Danio rerio: one gene and its partners. The protein of the gene in region 1 purifies or fractionates together with the protein of each later gene. This does not show direct contact. Links are inferred from orthologs where the notes say so. Each region holds a gene or a part of one and is shown in the gene's direction. Other genes may lie near its edges.

Region 1 (3,661 bases):
TGCGAACACAGCAGCACAGATATAGGCGATGTGTCTGAATGGTAACAAACTCAACTGATAAAAGACAAAGTCCGTCATTCTCCAATTCTCCTACAGCTCTTCTGACAAAAATGCTTGCTGCACACAAACAGGTTGCCTGTATCAGCCCTTGACAGAATAAGAGGAAAACCATGCAACAAACCGTGTGGATCATGGAAACAAACACATGCCACTCTTCATAAGCACCTAAATACTGCCGTGTGCCGTCTCACAGCTTGGCAGGTCTGACCGTATTAGTCTGTCATCGGAAAGCACATGCAGTATTAATAATTAAGAAGCAGGGTCTTCTCATAGGATAAGAAAACTCCACTACAAATAATAATGAGAAACTCACGCATCATCACTGGACAGGCAGATTGGTGCTACGTCACCGATTTCTGATCCCGCCCCAATAATGATTTTAAGCTGAAATTAGCTGACAAACGCTCAAAATGATCCAGTTTTATTCATGATTAAAGCTGATGGGTGCTAACGTTTTAAATGACGCACACACACATTGCATTTATGGAATAATCATGCACACATTTAAACCTTTCTTTAACACACATCTATAAAAGACTCAATAAAATATTACAGGAAATACTGTGATAAATCCCTTGCTCTGCTACACATCATTCGGGAAACACTTGAAAAAGAAAACAAAATTCACAATTCACTTTAACTGTATTAGTTCTGGTTTAATCTGATTGTCCTTCACGAATAGTTCTGATTCTCCTTGCAGAATAACAGGTCTTTGGTGGCGTTCAGCGTTCGAGTGCTGGAGGACATGAATGAAGTGACATCGCACATGCTGGAGGTTGTGAACGCTCATCTCCAGCAGAGCAAACCACAGAACATGGTGAGACTCCAGCACCTCCTTCTCATGCTACACTTCTGCTTTTCTTTCGCACAAAATGCAAAGAAAGTGGTTGATGGTTACAAACTCAACACAGAATTCAAGCATGTTCAAACCTTGTGTATCGTAGATTCAATTTCAAAGCATTAATTATCAACTGGTTATATTTGGGTCATGAGACAATATGCAGCATCTGTATATACAGTTAAAGACAAAGTGATTAAGGAGATGATTTACATTTTCAACATAATAGTTTTAATAACCAATGTTTTATGCAGGGGATTCCTTTCCAGCTGCAACCCTGTACTGGGAAACACCCATACATACCCATTTACACACTACAGCCAATTTAGTTTATTCAATTCACTAATGGCGCAGGTTTTTGGACTGTAGGGGAAACCGGAGCACACGGAATAAACCCACGCTAACACAGGGAGAACATGCAAACTCCATACAGTAATGCCAACATTGTGAGGCGACAGCGCTGACCACTGAGCCACCGTGCAGCCATGCTAAATACAATTGATTGTTTTTTTTTTTTGAATGATTTGCTATATTTAAATAACAAACCACCCAAGCCTTTTCCGCTCTGAGTCCTTATAAAGAATCCGTTTATTAAATGCATAATTTAAGGGGTATCCCAATTCTCTTTAGCTTGAAAGGGAACACTATGATAAAAAAAAAATATATATATATTTATTTTTATATATATATATATATATATATATATATATATATATATATATATATATATATATATTTTTTTTTTTTTTTTTTTTTTTTAACAAAAGTACAGTTCCCAAATTTTTCAGCCTGACCCCCCAAAATAACAATTTCAGTGACTCACGACCCCCGCCATCTCCGAAAGTGGTTCTAAACATACAAACAGTGCACATACACCAATAGGCCTAAATAAACACAAGCACATTGACAACATAAACAGTCTAACAACCATTTAATATTTATTATTTGTCATTTATTAATTAGTCTTTAATATCAACCTCATCTAATATGGCTGGTGGGTGCAATGTTTACTGCACAAGTCTATTATTGGTTTAACTTTGGAGACTTGGAGATCATCATCAATGTTCAGTTGTATATGATTTAAAAAGATAGATATTTAAAATTAAAATAAAAAACATTTTATTTTAATGTATAGCAGTTCATAAAGGTGGCAAAGTTTGCTATGGTACTGTAAAATCAATCTGACACTATTTCTGTGTGGTTAATATAATGGAAACATGACAGGGGTCACAATAACTGTTCTTATAATGTAATATAATGTGTTGTGTCTTTATAGGGAGGTGGTGGAGGGATGATGCCAGTGTCTCATACCAGCATGAATAGTATGGGCACCACAGGAGGCTATTCTGGTGCTAACATGATGCTAGTCAATGGCTTGAGTGCCAACCAGAACCAAGTGAGTAAACATTACAAACATATTTGTATTCACATCTTCCACCTTTATATATTATATTTGCAGTTATGGGTTGCACTTTCTGTTTAACCAAAGGTGCTCTAAGCTAGTTTTGAACAGCAGAGGGCACTCTAGGCCTGGCCCGGATTGGCTAATTGGGAGGACCAGGAGACGTTTTTTGACCATGAGGGCCGTTGTCCCTAGCTGCTTGCACTCTCAGCAGTCGCACTTTTTTCATTTATTTATTTATTTGACCATAGCCTCATTCTTTTGATTCATTATTTTGCTGCAGCTCCGCTCTTCTTATTTATTTTCTCGCAGCACCGTGAGCAGAATGCAGCCTGCAGGGTAATGATGATGTAACTATCATTCAACCCCAAACAGCGGCACTTATAGTGAAAATAAGAATTTGAATAATTAATATTAATGAATATTACACCTGCTCAATGAAAATCAGATGATTCACTACATTAATATATCCAACATAACTTGATCAGAAATCTAAAATGGGGAGAAAAAGATTAAACCATCAATAGAAAGCAATACTGTGGTTAAGAGTCTTGCAGGTCTTGAATATATATATATATATATATATATATATATATATATATATATATTTTTTTTTTTTTTCTGTCATTTTTATTGTTAAGACATATTATATTGTTAGGGTTGATAAACATTTGAAGTTTTAAAGCAGCTGTTTTCTTTAAAAAGACATGATAGTGTCATTAGAAACTGAATTGGAAATGACGTTATTTTAATATACTGTAGTCAGTCGTGAACTGAGGTGGGCAGGTCTTGGGCTTGAAACTCCAGGTCTGAAAAGGAGTCCCACTCCGGCCCTGCTCTAGGCTAGTGTTTAACAGCTTATAGTGCTCTAGGCTAGTGTTTAACAGCTGATGGTAGTCTAGGCTAGTGTTTAACAGCTTATAGTGCTCTAGGCTAGTGTTTAACAGCTGATGGTAGTCTAGGCTAGTGTTTAACAGCTTATAGTGCTCTAGGCTAGTGTTTAACAGCTGATGGTAGTCTGAGCTAGTGTTTAACAGCAGATGCCGCTCTAGGCTAGTCTTCAACAGCTAATGGTGCTCTAGGCTAGTGTTTAATAGCAGATGCCGCTCTAGACTAGTGTTCAACAGCTGATGGTGCTCTAGGCTAGTGTTTAACAGCAGATGCCGCTCTAGGCTAGTGTTTAACAGCAGATGCCGCTCTAGGCTAGTGTTCAACAGCTAATGGTGCTCTAGGCTAGTGTTTAATAGCAGATGCCGCTCTAGGCTAGTGTTCAACAGCTGATGGTGCTCTAGGCTAGTGTTTAACAGCAGATGCCGCTCTAGGCTAGTGTTTAACAGCAGATGGCGCTAGGCTAGTGTTCA
Region 2 (3,761 bases), on another chromosome or scaffold:
AATCAATTAAATACGTAATAAATAAAAGTCATTATGTTAATAGAAAAAATTATAAATCTAAATTTCTTTGTAAAACAATAATTACTTATAAGAAAAAATAAATATGAAGGGAAAATATGTATTAGTATTAGTAGTATTTAGAAATCATAAAAATATTATTATTATTATTATTAAATAAATTGTCATTTTATTATTATTAATATTATTATTATTAGTGACATCAAGAAACTGCATATTATATAGACTACAGGAAAAGACAATAGTTCTTACAATATCAACACTAGATGAACAGTATTAAGAGCAAAACCAAAAATTAAGTAGATAAAAATAATAATAATAATGCAATAAAAAGATAAAAAATCAAGCATGAAAGATTTCATCATGTTTACGCAAAAAAGAAGTACATTTCTTATTATCAATCAATCTAATTGAATTTATTAAATGTTCTATTTCACATAAGAAGTCTGTAAGAGTTTGTGTTTTTTTAACGAAACCTCTGTTTGTGAAAGTAAAATTTCCTAGCAAGTATAGAATGAAAATTTATAGTGGCTTTCAACGACTTGTTTTGATTTTCGAAATTAACAAATACCATCCTTGAGGTGCAAATTACAACTCATTTTAACATCGGAAAAGTAATATGAACTTAAGCTACTGTACAATACCAATACAATGATGATACATTGTATGAAATAACAAGTGACAAATGTCTTCACACTCATTTTTACAAATGGTGCAATTATCAGTAAACTAAAAAAATAATAATATTCAAAGGATTTCTGTATTGACGACCGCCGCCATTCTCTCTCTCTCTCTCTCTCTCTCTCTCTCTCTCTCTCTCTCTCTCTTTTGGCGGGTGAGTAAACCTTGAGGGATTTTTATTATTATTGCACAAACCATGAGGAACATACATACAAAACAATATAAAAGGTGTTCATAAAAAAAACGAATATAACAATGTTACAAAATAAACGAATGTAAATAAAAATAAATATATTGTTTTCGATACAAAAAACAGTTCGATACAAAAAATCGATACAAAAAAAACAATTAATGTGAGAGATGACTTAGCATTTTTTTGTTTGTGTATGCGATATGTTATCAATAAATAATAAAGAGATTATTAACAATGTTTACAAGACTTTTGTTGAGTTTGTTTTACCGCCACCAGTCGGTCCTGATTGGTTCATGTGACAATGACGTAGAATGACTGCTGGCGCCGAAAATAGACGTGTGGTTTCAAAACACTCGCGCCACTCACTGGCGTCACGAAAGCGAGACTTGTATTCAGAATTAGATAACTGACCTACAATAAACCCGTGAACGCAGCGATATTCATCGCCCATGCAGTATTTACAGTTGGCCTCATTTACAGTCAGATATTACTGAAAAGGACTCTTTGCTCGAGAGGTGGGTGTGGCCTGCAGCTCATCATTTTAACTTAATCCACGATAACAGCTTTGCTTGGCATTCTAGCTGAATGGAGACGTTTTACTGTGAATTATATGTAAAGTTAAGTAACTGGTATCTTGATTCTGCTTTATGGTACATTGGCTTTGCTCTTTAATTGTTTGTTGTCTGTTGCTTTTGTTGTTAGGACGTGGTTCAGTGAAGTTTGGTGTTTATGTTGTGATTTGCAGACATGCAGTCATCAAGCAGCTCAACAGCCTCCAGCAGCACCCCGCCAAGATACGGTGATAAAAACACAAATATCTACATATGAGAATATTAATTTATCATATCAGTGGTCCCAACTATATGCTAAATTACATTAATTAACGTTACACTGAAAAACTTTTCCCATTATGTTTGAACAGAAGTTTAATATACGTTTTCTTGTTTGTCATCCACCATTAGCTTTCATAGATTTTATGGACGTGGGCAGCACAATGACCTTATCACAAGAACTTGCCAATTTAACAGAAGATGCAGGACAGGAGCTGGAGGCAGAGGGGAATGTTCTGTTTGGTTCAATTCAAGGCTTAATTGTTGGTTTGCGATACTACACTGGAGCGGTATGAATTGTTGCATTTTACAATAAATCAAAGCATATTTGGTTGCGGTTAAGTTGGTTTTATATTTGTACATTTGTTCATTTTTAAGCAGTGAAAACTTAACGCTTTGAATATTCGGTCTGAAATATCATGCAAGAATGACTTCAAAACAGCACCATTTAACTGACTGTCAACAGTGGACTTTAATAGTCATTGGCTGCTAATATAATTTCCCTGTTAAGAATTTGCAAAGAATAGTTTTCTGAAATTATATTACTGAGAAGAAAGTTCGAATGTACAAATATAAAACCAACTTTACCTCAATGCAGATTTGTGTGTCCAGATATCTGTACAAAAAAACAAAAACACTGATATATTTAATAATCCCACTACCATGAAATTATACAGTATTTGATAATAGGCTTTTAATAGGATTATCACTTTACATGTTTACATGTAATCATTTTATTACAAGTTATTTACAAGTTATTATATTATTGTTATTATTATGTTAACACCATTTTGTCTGGTTCTGTCTATAAAGCAAATATTCCACTTTTTAAATGTATTTATTTGTTCTTGGACAATTCCTGCTTGCAAGAATTTTGGGTAGTTGTTACAATAGAACTGCACAATATGTCGCTTCAGCAACGATATCGCAATGTGCACATCCGCAATAGTCACATCGCAATATATACAATTTTGAGTCTGAATTATAGTTGACCAAGAGCTACAGAATTGTATTTAATTACTGTATTTATAAGTAATTTATGCAAAAAAGAAAAAAAATTTCTCACTTAGAATTTTTGTCTTGTTTCTTGTTTTCCAAATTATCCACATTTTAAAGCAAGAAAATAAGATTGTTTTATTCACCTCAATGGTTTCAATGGCAGATAATTGTCTTGTTTTGAGGAAGAACTCATTATTTCTTCTGAAGTTGAAAACAAAACAATATTATTTACTTAATTTAAATATTTTTAGATATTTGGACTAGAAATGAGACAAAGCAAATTAAGAAAAGCATTTTTTTTGCATTTTGATTGTTTAATTTCTGTACCTGAATAATGCTAGACTCCCCAGAAAATATTCATATCGCAATATTTATTGCAAAAAAAAAGAAAATTGCAATATCAGATTTTTCTAATATTGTGCAGCCCTACTTTACAATAAGATTCCATGAGTTAGCAATAATTATAATTAATATAATTATTTTTGATAGTGTATCAGTCTATTTTAACATTAACCACACAATCTGCAAGTGGAAACAGAAAAAAAAAACATATATTAAAATGATAGTTCACCCAAAAATAAACATTTCCTCACCCTTTTCTTTTACTTAGGTGGTTTTAAGAATTTGTACATTTCTTCTGATGAACACAAATTAAGATTTAAGAACGTTGAAAAAAAGGCAGCCACTTACATCCATAATAGAATCAAAGCATTCTATGAAAGTTAATAAGTGTTCAGTGTATCTTTTCTATTAAACAGAAGAAACTCAAACAAGCTATGGAACAAGTGAAGTTGAGTAAATGATGACAGAATTAATTTCTGGGTGAACTTTCCTGTTAATCTGAGAACATTTTGTAACCTTTTCATAACATGATTTTTTTCTTAAAATTTGACTATTAATTCATCTATAAAAGGGTTGGCATCGAGCTAAGTACATCTTGTGTCAGGTTCCCCTTGCATAAAGTTACAACGATTGATAAAACAAAATCAGAATTATATGTTGCAGCACAACATGGCTTTATTTACATATCAAATTTATTC
Region 3 (3,761 bases), on another chromosome or scaffold:
TACTAATATATCTGCACGTTTTACTCATTTGTTTCAAGTGATCTCTACTAAACTGTGGGCATGTTGTAATAATTACTTTAAAAAACCTAAATAAAACAACAACAAAAACACTCGACATGCAACATGCTCGTACAACATGCACGAATTGTGCGAGATAAAAAAGTATGTTTTCATAGATACATTAGCAAAGATGCTAAATATCTGTAGACACACTACTGAACAAAGCTGCAGATAGTATTGTTTACCTTAGCACACTGTAGCCTATAAATATTTTTTATGTCTATATAAATTAAGGTAAGGCAGCTATATTTAGCACACTTATTACAGTTTGTAACATGCTAACTTAGCTCATATTTGTTAACTGCAAAGGTTTTGTCGTATAAAAAAGATCTGCTTGTTGTGATCACATAAAAATGTACACAATCATTTGTTCTCGTCAATAAATCGTAATAGTTGAAATAATAATAGTTCCAACTTAAAACAGCAGCAACAAAAACACTCCGTAGTTACATGCACACATTGTGTGAGATAAAAAAGTATGTTGTTCATAGCGAAGATGCTAAATCTGACACAATAGCTGTAGACAAATCTTTAAAGCAGCAAACAGATTTCACCTTTTATTAGTTTATTTCTGTAGCCTAACAATGTTATGAAGTCTAACTATATCATTTTTACATCTTTTGTTAAAAATAAAGCCTTTCGCAGCTATTTAGCGCAATTATTACAATTGGTTATAACCTGCATGCTAACTTAGCTCATAATAACTGCAAAAGTTTTGTCGTATATGGTGTAATCACATAAAAATGTACCTGCTGATTTTTAGTGATGATTTTGCTTAAAATGTATCAAAAATATCACTAAACACTATTTATTTTGTGTGTGCACCTTGTAAATATATTTTTAATCTTACTCATACTACTCTGCGTCAGTGTTTTGTTGTGAACTCATATTTTTCCATTTAAACTAAAATAATACAATCTTGAAGCCTTGCGATATGTTTACTACAGGTACGAGTATGTATAAGCTAAATGGTGAAGAAAACGTTTAACAAGCCCAAACTTTTATAAACACATCTTGTTGAACATGTTTAGACAACTTCCAAATCACGGCTTTGTGCAAGTTTTCTGAATCAAAATGAATGGTTCAAAACGCATTTTGTCGCAAGAGTGTCTCCGTAATACGTGCGCTACTCCTTTGACGAATCAGAGCTCACCGCTACACACTATGGCAGTGGTTTAGCCAATCAGGTGATGTTTTACTACCGCGTACGCTTTCGTCTGGCCGCATGGACACTCCTCCTCGCTTGAATGAATACCGAACCTTCAGAAATGCCTCCAACTTTTCCTCTTTTCGGTTATTTGTTTGTTTGGTCAACTACTTTTATGTAAACATTTCAGAATTGCACTTTATCTGGAGTGTTTACTTTTGGTTTGTCATGTCGGTGATTTGACGGGCAGTTGCAGGTTATGCAGGAATCTGAGGAGCGTAAATCAAGCAGGTGACTGATAAACTTGAGCACTTTACTACACCTTTACCATGTTAAAATTGGAGTCTGGAAGAGCATTGTGTGTTAGTTTGTTAGTCCGGTAGTAATGTACACTTTATAGGCTGAAAAATAACTGGATTTTTGACCAGTAAGTGAGTGTTATCGTATTAAAATTGTCACATGCTAACTGCTTGATATTAATGAACTGGCACGAACCGTACTGTATGTCAGGGTTTTGCAGTCTTTTATATGTCACGGACATCCAAACCCAAAATGTAAACTACATATTTGTAGTTGCAAAATACATTTATACTGCGAAAACTAGTGTTAGATAATGTGTCTAATGTTTTTTTCTAAATTATTTATTTTCTGCTATAATTTTTTGCAGATTATTAATGAATTCGTTGTCCTGGAACTGTTTTAATTGTTACATTTACAGTTTAAATCAAAAAGCTTGTCTATTTAATTGAAATAATTAGATGGATAGGTTTTTAATAAATATAGAAATGTGTGTTTAAACATTTATTTATATTGTAATACATATAGACATGTTACCCTGGATGTTATGAGGCTAGAATAAAAGCAGTTTTTAATTTTTTAAAAACATTTAAGATCAAAATTATTAGCCCCCTTAAGGTATATATTTTTTCGATAGTTTACAGAACAAACCATCATTATACAATAACTTGCCTAATTACCCTAACCTGCCTGATTAACCTAGTTAAGCCTTTAAATGTCACTTTAAGCTGTATAGAAGTGTCTTGAAAAATATCTAGTAAAATATTATGTGCTGTCATCATGGCAAAGATAAAATGAATCAGCTGTTAGAAATCAGTTATTAAAACTATTATGTTAAGAAATGTGTTAAAGAAAAATCTTCCATTAAACAAAAATAAACAGAGGGGCTAATAATTCAGGGGGTTTAATAATTCTGACTTCAACTGTACATTTATAGTGGTGGTCATGTATAAACAAACATTGTACAGCTTATGCAGTACTATTTATTATAAAACAGGTGAATTTACTAAAGTTTTAATCACTTTAAGACATATTTATCCAAATTTTTCCAAATTTAATGACATTCCATTAGTGACGATCTGTCCCTCATTTGCAAAGACAGTCCTGAGTCATAAGCAGTCACCTGCCAATAGATGTAATATAGACGTGGTGTTTTAGGATGCACAAATGAAAACCGTAGATGACCATAGGCATTTGCAGCTCTGCCCACAATTGAAAAGAAGGCTATCTCACTTGAATTTAAAGCAACAGTCAACAAAATATCACAATTTGGATCGAAGTCTAAAAAGGGCAGTTTAAAAGAATTATTAGTGGGGTATTTTGAGCTGAAATTTAACACGCTCTAGGTCAGGGGTGCCCAAACCCGGTCCTGGAGGGCCGGTGACCTGCATAGTTTAGCTCACACTTCCTTCAACACACCTGCTTGGAAGTTTCCAGTATACGTATAAAGAGCTTGATTAGCTGGTTTAAGTGTGTCTAATTGGGGATAGAACTAAACTCTGCAGGACACTGGACCAGAGTTTAGGCATTCCTGCTCTAGGGGTGTCAGAGACCTATCATCTTGTGAAAAGGGGCATAAACATTTTCTTTACTACACTAATTATTTGCTGAACATTAACAAGGTTTTATTGATTTCCCAGCAGGAGCTCGTTGACATGGACTTTCCCCCGAGCAAGAGACTGAAGGGCCCTCAGGTGAAGACTGGACCCGACCCGTTTGACGATGACATTGATTTCACCCAGGATGATCTGGAGCAGATTGATATTATTGCGTCTCAGGCCATCAGCGCAGACGTCCAGAACAGCGGCTCTAAGAGATCTTTCGACGCTGTGCTCGCTTGCGCTGATGAACCGAGCAAAGCTCCAGTGAGGTCCGGGCGGAAAACATTCGCCCTTGGAGATGCCTGCAGCAGCAGCACTTACAACAACACACACGCTCAAAGGAAAGAGCCTTCTGGTCAGTACTGGATGTTTCTGTTGCACTGTACACAAGTTTTTATATGTCCCATTGGGTTTTTGCAGTTGTTGTTGTTAATTTAAAAAACAAAATTAGAGACAGTTTAAAGAAGCAATTTAACATATTTGTTTGTTGTTTTGTGTCTTGTTAGTGGGCTATTATATATATATATATATATATATATATATATATATATATATATATATATATATATATATATATATATATATATATATATATATATACACACACAGAATTTACATTTCAGCCAGCCAGCCAGCCTCAGCACTTCCAGTGAATT

What was found.
Region 2: the proteins of rpa2 (region 1) and hltf purify together in Homo sapiens (affinity purification with mass spectrometry, with the first as the bait; 3 studies listed by BioGRID). This does not show direct contact. The link is inferred for Danio rerio from reciprocal best matches to the Homo sapiens genes RPA2 and HLTF.
Region 3: the proteins of rpa2 (region 1) and atrip purify together in Homo sapiens (affinity purification with western blotting; 5 studies listed by BioGRID, with this or other methods). This does not show direct contact. The link is inferred for Danio rerio from reciprocal best matches to the Homo sapiens genes RPA2 and ATRIP.

Annotation. Positions count from the first base shown.
Region 1 is NC_133191.1:4,960,487-4,964,147, reverse strand, and holds part of rpa2 (replication protein A 32 kDa subunit), read left to right. Parts: intron 1-760; coding exon 761-877; intron 878-2,174; coding exon 2,175-2,294; intron 2,295-3,661. UniProt on the Homo sapiens protein: As part of the heterotrimeric replication protein A complex (RPA/RP-A), binds and stabilizes single-stranded DNA intermediates that form during DNA replication or upon DNA stress.
Region 2 is NC_133177.1:28,293,165-28,296,925, reverse strand, and holds the start of hltf (helicase-like transcription factor), read left to right. Parts: upstream 1-1,252; 5' UTR 1,253-1,407; intron 1,408-1,594; exon of another isoform or gene 1,595-1,637; 5' UTR 1,638-1,639; coding exon 1,640-1,691; intron 1,692-1,854; coding exon 1,855-2,012; intron 2,013-3,761. UniProt on the Homo sapiens protein: Has both helicase and E3 ubiquitin ligase activities. Possesses intrinsic ATP-dependent nucleosome-remodeling activity; This activity may be required for transcriptional activation or repression of specific target promoters.
Region 3 is NC_133197.1:10,190,922-10,194,682, forward strand, and holds the start of atrip (ATR-interacting protein), read left to right. Parts: upstream 1-1,301; 5' UTR 1,302-1,498; intron 1,499-3,144; exon of another isoform or gene 3,145-3,147; 5' UTR 3,148-3,159; coding exon 3,160-3,460; intron 3,461-3,761. UniProt on the Homo sapiens protein: Required for checkpoint signaling after DNA damage. Required for ATR expression, possibly by stabilizing the protein.